Linked DNA regions of Saccharomyces cerevisiae S288C. Each later gene encodes a partner of the first gene's protein in a complex. Each region holds a gene or a part of one and is shown in the gene's direction. Other genes may lie near its edges. The genes, in order: KGD4 and KGD1.

The links.
Region 2: KGD4 (region 1) and KGD1 share a complex: the UniProt entries of both Saccharomyces cerevisiae proteins name them as parts of the 2-oxoglutarate dehydrogenase complex.

The regions. Positions count from the first base shown.
Region 1 is NC_001138.5:246,782-249,567, forward strand, and holds KGD4 (alpha-ketoglutarate dehydrogenase subunit KGD4), read left to right. Parts: upstream 1-1,741; coding exon 1,742-2,113; downstream 2,114-2,786. Other genes in the region: RMD8 (Rmd8p), read left to right, coding at 1-1,353; PRE4 (proteasome core particle subunit beta 7), read right to left, coding at 2,285-2,786. UniProt on the Saccharomyces cerevisiae protein: Molecular adapter that is necessary to a form a stable 2-oxoglutarate dehydrogenase enzyme complex (OGDC).
Region 2 is NC_001141.2:120,951-126,407, forward strand, and holds KGD1 (alpha-ketoglutarate dehydrogenase KGD1), read left to right. Parts: upstream 1-1,738; coding exon 1,739-4,783; downstream 4,784-5,457. Other genes in the region: RSC chromatin remodeling complex ATPase subunit STH1, read left to right, coding at 1-1,121; AYR1 (acylglycerone-phosphate reductase), read left to right, coding at 5,254-5,457. UniProt on the Saccharomyces cerevisiae protein: The 2-oxoglutarate dehydrogenase complex catalyzes the overall conversion of 2-oxoglutarate to succinyl-CoA and CO(2).

The DNA.
Region 1 (2,786 bases):
CATGAGGTTTCACCAAGATTGTATGATGAGTGTCTATACGTTGCGTATACTTTGCCACTTCTACCAGGTAAAGGCGGTTTTAGAATCAAATCAAATTTATCTAAGAAAACAATGGGTGGAAAGACATTAATTGATAATTTAATTGATACAAGCGAACAGAGAGATCATCATTATGAATATTACTCAGGTGTGGAAACTGTGGAAGATGCAAATAATAATTACGAACTAGAAACCAGTGGAAATAACAATAACGCTAATCAAGACACCACAACAGTTCCCGATCATCTACCAAATCCAGTTGGTCAGCAAGACTCTTTTAATCCTATGGAACCACAATTTTTTGCGGAAGAAACTCCCTTAGAGATAGAGAAACGGGAAAGGACAGAAAGAATAAACATGCTGAAGAAGGAGGAAAACGACAGTGATGCAAGTTGTGGCAACGATAATAATAATAAAAATAATGATAAGAGTAAACTTTATGCTGTTGAGGGAAACGATCAGTATGTACAGTCCTCTCGTTCACCAGCTTCGCCATCATCAATATCTACGCCATCGCCACCATCTTCATCACAGAATGATTTTGATCGTGTATATAAAATGCATAGGGACAACGACCATGAAGGCAATGATAGACATGCAGAAATTTTCATTTTTCACTATGGCGTTATTGTTTTTTGGAACTTTACTGAAATTCAAGAGAAAAATATTCTTGGTGATATAACATTTGCAGATTATAAGAATTTAATGATCCGGCCGCTGGATGAACAAGATATTGAAACTGAACAATTCCATTTCGAATATGACAGAGATACCGAGAGACCGAGAATTTTCAATGATATTGTCACATTACGTTCAGGTGACCACATTATCGAGCTGACACTATCACATGCGATTGCGCAATCTTCGAAATTATCAAGGTTTGAATCCAGAATTTCGCCGATTTTAATATCAGTCACAAAACTACCTAAAAGACTAGCATTATATGGTACCCTTGGGTTAAAAAGGGAACAGCTTTTGAAAAAATCAGGGAAGCTCTTTAAATTGAGAGTGGATGTTAACCTTTCATCCACCATATTGGATACACCCGAGTTTTTTTGGTCGTTCGAACCAAGTTTGCATCCACTGTACGTGGCAATGAGGGAGTATTTAGAAATTGACCAAAGAGTACAAGTATTAAATGATCGTTGCAAAGTTTTCTTGGAATTCTTTGATATATGCGTTGACTCTGTTGCTGAAAGAAACATGGCTCGTGTTACATGGTGGTTTATTCTTGTCATTTTATTTGGAGTTATATTTTCATTAACAGAGATTTTCGTTCGTTATGTAATTATTCATCGTCATACTTCTACATAGATATTCATACACCCTTCTAGACGGCATTAAAAATAAATTAATGATATATTTAGTTATCAAGGTTTTTAGTCATATATTTCACCGTTATTACCATTCTTGGTCACGTGCAAGTAAAACCACTCGTTGATTGGCTCCCCTCAAGATTGCATTAAAAGTACAATAATATGACTAAGGGACTCGAATATGTAAATTCATCTTTCGCATCAACAAAGGAGAAAAAGACGATAGTGAAGACTAATATTTTAGCCAGATTGCAGTGTTTCAGTGATCTTAAAAGTCTTTTTCATTTCTAGCCGCATTGAATTCTTTAAAGCAAACCATTAAGGAGTACTTCCCCAGGTTTTTAACCGATAATAAGAGTAAGATAAAAGTACAAGAAGACAGGGAAATGATTGCTACACCTATAAGATTAGCAAAGAGTGCATATGAGCCGATGATAAAATTCGTCGGTACAAGGCATCCCTTAGTGAAGCATGCAACTGAGGTCGTTGTTCATCCTTGCGCTACCAACGGAATGTTACCTGGCAGCAAAGAGTGTATTCCAGTGAGTAAATTCATGGAAAATTATAAACCATTCCGTGTAGTGCCAATAAAGCATAGCGCTAATGCTGGTCTCAGCTCGTCAAAGACCTCTGTATTCGTTAACAGGCCATTGCAAAAAGATGAGCTTGCTTCCATTTTCGAGCTACCTGCTAGGTTTCGGTACAAACCTATTAACGAGCATGAATTGGAGAGCATAAATAGCGGTGGTGCATGGTGAAGGATAGATGCAGTAATATTATGATTTTTTTTTGTTATTTTATAGTTTCTTTACACATATCATTATATCTATGTAAAAACGTAGTTACTTAGGAAGAGAGAAGAGTGATGATATTATGAATTGAAAAATAAAAATAAAATGAGTATTTAATGAAGGTGGGATAAAACTCTTCTAAATTTTTTGAGTACCGTAGCCTTTAATATCCTTGGCGAAGTCCCATTTCATGTTTTCAACTTGCAAGTTTTTCTTGAAAGTTAAACCTGTGTTCTTATCAATTATGGCCAGTGAGAAGTTTCTAGAAGAACGGGCATCTCTATAATAAAGAACTCTCATTGCATTTACGATCGCCTCTTCAGCAACCTGTACAGTGGTCTTTGGAATATCAGATTCTCGATCTACAACTTTCCTTAACAGTGGGTTTGCCATGTGTGCCCCAAAACCTGTGGCCAAGGTGGGAGACGAATACGTAACACCTAGAAGATTTACGTATCTTAGGAATTGATCACCATTAGACTGTACACCAGCAACAATGATGGCATTCCAAAGTGGATTCATCTTTGATCTTCGCTGGTACATGACGGTAGCTAGATATTCAAAAATATAGCTGGGTTCGAGCGCTTCTTCAGCATCCGCTAGAGGATTGTCATACGCATTTTCAGTGACTAGATCTTTC
Region 2 (5,457 bases), on another chromosome or scaffold:
GAAGCGCTGATGAAAAAATACTATTTGATAAAATTGATAAGGAGAGAATGAACCAAGAAAGAGCAGATGCTAAAGCGCAAGGCCTGAGAGTCCCTCCTCCTAGATTGATTCAATTAGACGAGCTACCCAAAGTATTCAGAGAAGACATTGAAGAACATTTCAAGAAAGAGGATTCTGAACCATTGGGAAGGATTAGACAAAAGAAAAGAGTTTACTATGATGACGGTCTAACTGAAGAACAATTTTTGGAGGCTGTAGAAGATGATAATATGTCTTTAGAAGATGCCATTAAAAAAAGACGTGAAGCACGTGAAAGAAGGAGATTACGTCAAAATGGTACAAAAGAGAATGAAATAGAAACCCTGGAAAACACGCCTGAAGCATCCGAAACTTCATTGATTGAGAACAATAGCTTCACTGCAGCTGTGGATGAGGAAACTAATGCTGATAAAGAGACTACAGCTTCCAGGTCAAAACGCCGGAGTAGTAGAAAGAAAAGGACCATTAGCATTGTTACGGCAGAAGACAAAGAGAATACTCAAGAAGAGAGTACATCTCAAGAAAACGGGGGCGCTAAGGTGGAAGAGGAAGTAAAAAGTAGCTCCGTTGAAATTATAAATGGTTCAGAATCCAAGAAAAAGAAACCGAAACTGACCGTCAAGATCAAACTAAACAAAACAACTGTGTTGGAGAATAATGATGGTAAGCGAGCAGAAGAAAAGCCAGAGAGTAAATCGCCCGCGAAGAAGACTGCAGCCAAAAAAACTAAAACTAAATCCAAGTCGCTTGGGATTTTTCCCACGGTGGAAAAATTGGTGGAAGAAATGCGCGAACAGTTAGATGAGGTAGACTCCCATCCAAGGACGTCCATTTTTGAAAAGCTTCCTTCGAAACGCGACTATCCGGACTATTTTAAAGTAATTGAAAAACCCATGGCCATTGATATTATATTGAAAAACTGCAAGAATGGCACTTACAAAACTTTGGAGGAGGTAAGGCAAGCCTTACAAACGATGTTTGAAAATGCTAGATTCTATAATGAAGAGGGATCCTGGGTTTACGTTGATGCTGACAAGTTAAATGAGTTTACTGATGAATGGTTCAAGGAACACTCTTCGTAACGTTTTCATCACCACATGTTTTTTTTTTTTACGACTATATCCCTTTCCCCTCTAATACTCTTTCTAGCCTTTTTTTCTACCTCTACATATGTTTATAAAATATATACCACTGTAACAATAAGATCGACAGAGCGAATATAATTCTTTGAGTAACTAATATCCTTTGGCTTATTCTCTGGGCTTATTAGTGCCGCAAAATAATTACCCGGCGGCGATGGACCAGTTAGCTTCGACCGTTTGCGATTCCGGGGCTAAGGAAGGGGCCTCTGCAAATAAGAAAGAGGCATTACACATAAATGATTGGCAAAGGGACTGCGGGAGTCAAGACCTACATGTAAGTCCGATTTACGATAACGGTTTAGATTCATTGGGTGTGTACTATTTATACTTTAACAAACCCGTGTGTTATTTAATAAGATCATATCTTGTTTGTTTTTCGCCCTCAATTTTGTTTCTGTCACATAGTCGCAGCAGCTGAATATAGATAGGAAGAGAGAAGGAAGCGATTCTCGTTCAGCATCATACTTCTTCCTAATTTCCCCAAATTAAAGTTTCGTTTGAAAGAAACAACAAAAGAGAAAGAAAGCAGTTTTTAGAAAATACTAAATTTTACCGTTATGCTAAGGTTCGTGTCTTCGCAAACCTGCCGGTATAGTTCAAGAGGACTATTAAAAACATCTTTACTTAAAAATGCATCTACTGTCAAAATTGTCGGAAGAGGGTTAGCCACCACTGGTACAGATAATTTTCTATCGACATCAAATGCCACCTATATCGATGAAATGTACCAAGCTTGGCAAAAAGACCCATCTTCAGTCCATGTTTCATGGGACGCATATTTCAAGAATATGTCTAACCCAAAGATTCCAGCTACAAAGGCTTTTCAGGCTCCTCCCAGTATCAGTAACTTTCCCCAGGGTACCGAAGCAGCTCCCTTAGGGACCGCAATGACTGGTTCAGTAGATGAGAACGTCTCCATTCATCTAAAAGTGCAATTGCTATGTAGAGCTTACCAAGTTAGAGGTCATTTAAAAGCCCATATAGATCCTTTAGGGATCTCATTTGGTAGTAATAAAAATAACCCTGTTCCTCCGGAATTGACTCTAGACTACTACGGCTTTAGCAAACACGATCTTGATAAAGAAATCAACCTAGGACCTGGTATCCTGCCAAGGTTTGCAAGGGACGGGAAATCTAAAATGTCTCTGAAAGAGATTGTGGATCATCTAGAAAAGTTATATTGTTCCTCTTATGGGGTACAATACACACATATTCCATCTAAGCAAAAGTGTGATTGGTTAAGAGAGAGAATTGAGATTCCTGAACCTTACCAATATACAGTGGACCAAAAGAGACAAATCTTAGATAGATTAACATGGGCCACTTCTTTTGAGTCATTCTTATCTACAAAATTTCCAAATGATAAGAGGTTCGGTTTAGAAGGTTTGGAAAGTGTTGTTCCAGGTATTAAAACTTTGGTTGATCGTTCTGTTGAATTGGGTGTAGAAGATATTGTTTTGGGTATGGCTCACCGTGGTAGATTGAACGTTTTATCCAATGTGGTCCGTAAACCAAATGAATCTATTTTTTCTGAATTTAAGGGTTCGAGCGCTCGCGATGATATTGAAGGATCGGGTGATGTCAAGTACCATTTGGGTATGAACTACCAAAGACCAACTACGTCTGGTAAGTACGTCAATTTATCGCTGGTGGCAAATCCTTCTCATTTAGAATCCCAAGATCCAGTTGTTCTTGGTAGAACTAGAGCTTTATTGCATGCCAAGAACGATTTGAAGGAAAAAACAAAGGCCTTAGGTGTGTTATTACATGGTGATGCTGCTTTTGCTGGGCAGGGTGTTGTTTATGAAACCATGGGTTTCTTGACCCTACCAGAATACTCTACTGGTGGTACTATTCATGTTATTACAAACAACCAGATCGGATTCACTACGGATCCAAGATTTGCAAGGTCCACACCATATCCTTCCGATTTGGCTAAGGCCATTGATGCCCCAATTTTCCATGTTAACGCTAATGACGTGGAAGCTGTGACCTTTATTTTCAATTTAGCCGCAGAATGGAGACATAAGTTCCACACAGATGCCATAATTGATGTCGTTGGTTGGAGAAAACATGGACATAATGAAACCGATCAGCCATCGTTTACTCAACCATTAATGTACAAAAAAATTGCAAAACAAAAATCTGTCATTGACGTCTATACGGAAAAATTGATAAGTGAAGGCACATTTTCTAAAAAAGATATTGATGAGCACAAGAAATGGGTATGGAACTTATTTGAAGATGCTTTCGAAAAGGCAAAGGATTACGTCCCATCTCAAAGAGAATGGTTAACTGCTGCCTGGGAAGGATTCAAATCCCCAAAGGAATTGGCCACTGAGATATTACCACATGAACCAACTAATGTTCCAGAGAGTACTTTGAAAGAACTAGGTAAGGTACTCTCTTCGTGGCCAGAAGGTTTTGAAGTGCACAAAAATCTAAAGAGAATTTTGAAAAATAGAGGAAAATCTATTGAGACAGGTGAAGGCATCGATTGGGCCACCGGTGAAGCATTAGCGTTCGGTACATTGGTTTTGGATGGTCAGAACGTTAGGGTTTCCGGTGAAGATGTAGAAAGAGGTACATTTTCTCAACGTCATGCAGTCTTGCATGACCAACAATCTGAAGCCATTTACACACCGCTAAGCACTCTGAATAATGAAAAGGCAGACTTCACCATTGCAAATTCCTCGTTATCTGAGTACGGTGTAATGGGTTTCGAATATGGTTATTCGCTAACCTCCCCAGATTATCTAGTCATGTGGGAGGCTCAATTCGGTGACTTTGCAAATACAGCACAGGTTATTATTGACCAATTTATTGCCGGTGGTGAACAAAAATGGAAGCAACGCTCTGGTTTAGTTTTGTCTTTACCCCATGGTTATGATGGCCAGGGGCCAGAACATTCGTCTGGTAGATTGGAAAGATTCTTGCAACTAGCCAATGAAGACCCAAGATATTTCCCATCTGAAGAAAAGCTACAGAGACAACATCAGGATTGTAATTTCCAGGTTGTTTATCCAACTACGCCTGCTAATTTATTCCACATTCTAAGGAGACAGCAACATCGTCAATTCCGTAAACCATTGGCGTTATTCTTTTCTAAACAGCTGCTGCGTCACCCATTGGCCAGATCATCTCTTTCCGAATTCACTGAAGGCGGATTCCAATGGATTATCGAAGATATTGAACATGGAAAAAGTATTGGTACGAAAGAGGAAACCAAGAGATTAGTTTTGCTGAGTGGCCAAGTGTACACTGCCCTACATAAAAGACGTGAAAGTTTGGGTGATAAGACCACTGCTTTCTTAAAGATTGAACAGCTGCACCCATTCCCATTTGCTCAGCTACGTGATTCATTAAATTCTTATCCAAACTTGGAAGAAATTGTTTGGTGCCAGGAAGAGCCATTGAACATGGGTTCGTGGGCATACACAGAACCACGCTTACACACAACATTAAAAGAAACGGATAAATATAAGGATTTCAAGGTCAGATACTGTGGTAGAAACCCAAGTGGTGCTGTTGCTGCCGGTAGCAAATCACTACATTTGGCCGAAGAAGATGCCTTTTTGAAAGATGTTTTCCAACAATCCTAAAGATGAATTCAAATATGAAAAACATGAAAATACAGCCATATAAACACGTAATATTTTTACCTTAATGTTTATGGACAGCCTTTTTACTTGAAGAATGATCTAACAAATATTTTTTTTGATACATTCACATTTTTTTTTTGTTCATGATGTTAGCATCTGCTTAGTCTTTTTAAAATTATTTAATTTAACGTTTTATTTATGTGAACCTTTTTTTATTAGTTGTATTTACTATTTATTCAAGAATCATTCTTTACTTTATATTGATATCGTTTTTTTCCCCCTACTTCCTCCTCTGGTGTATTCACAGCTAGGTGCTTCTCTTGTCCTCATCCGGTGGAGAAAAAAAGTGAAAAATAAGTCAATGGAAAGGGGGAAGGGGGTAGGTAAATAGAGTGAATAAGTTTTATTCATCATGCCCAACTTCTATTAATATATACTCAATTCAAATATTGATCAGGATTTCAAAGAGTATGTCGGAGTTACAGTCACAACCTAAAAAGATTGCCGTTGTTACAGGCGCCTCAGGTGGTATTGGATATGAGGTAACGAAGGAATTAGCCAGAAATGGCTATTTGGTTTATGCATGTGCAAGAAGACTAGAACCAATGGCACAATTGGCCATCCAATTTGGTAACGATAGTATCAAACCATATAAGTTGGATATTTCCAAGCCA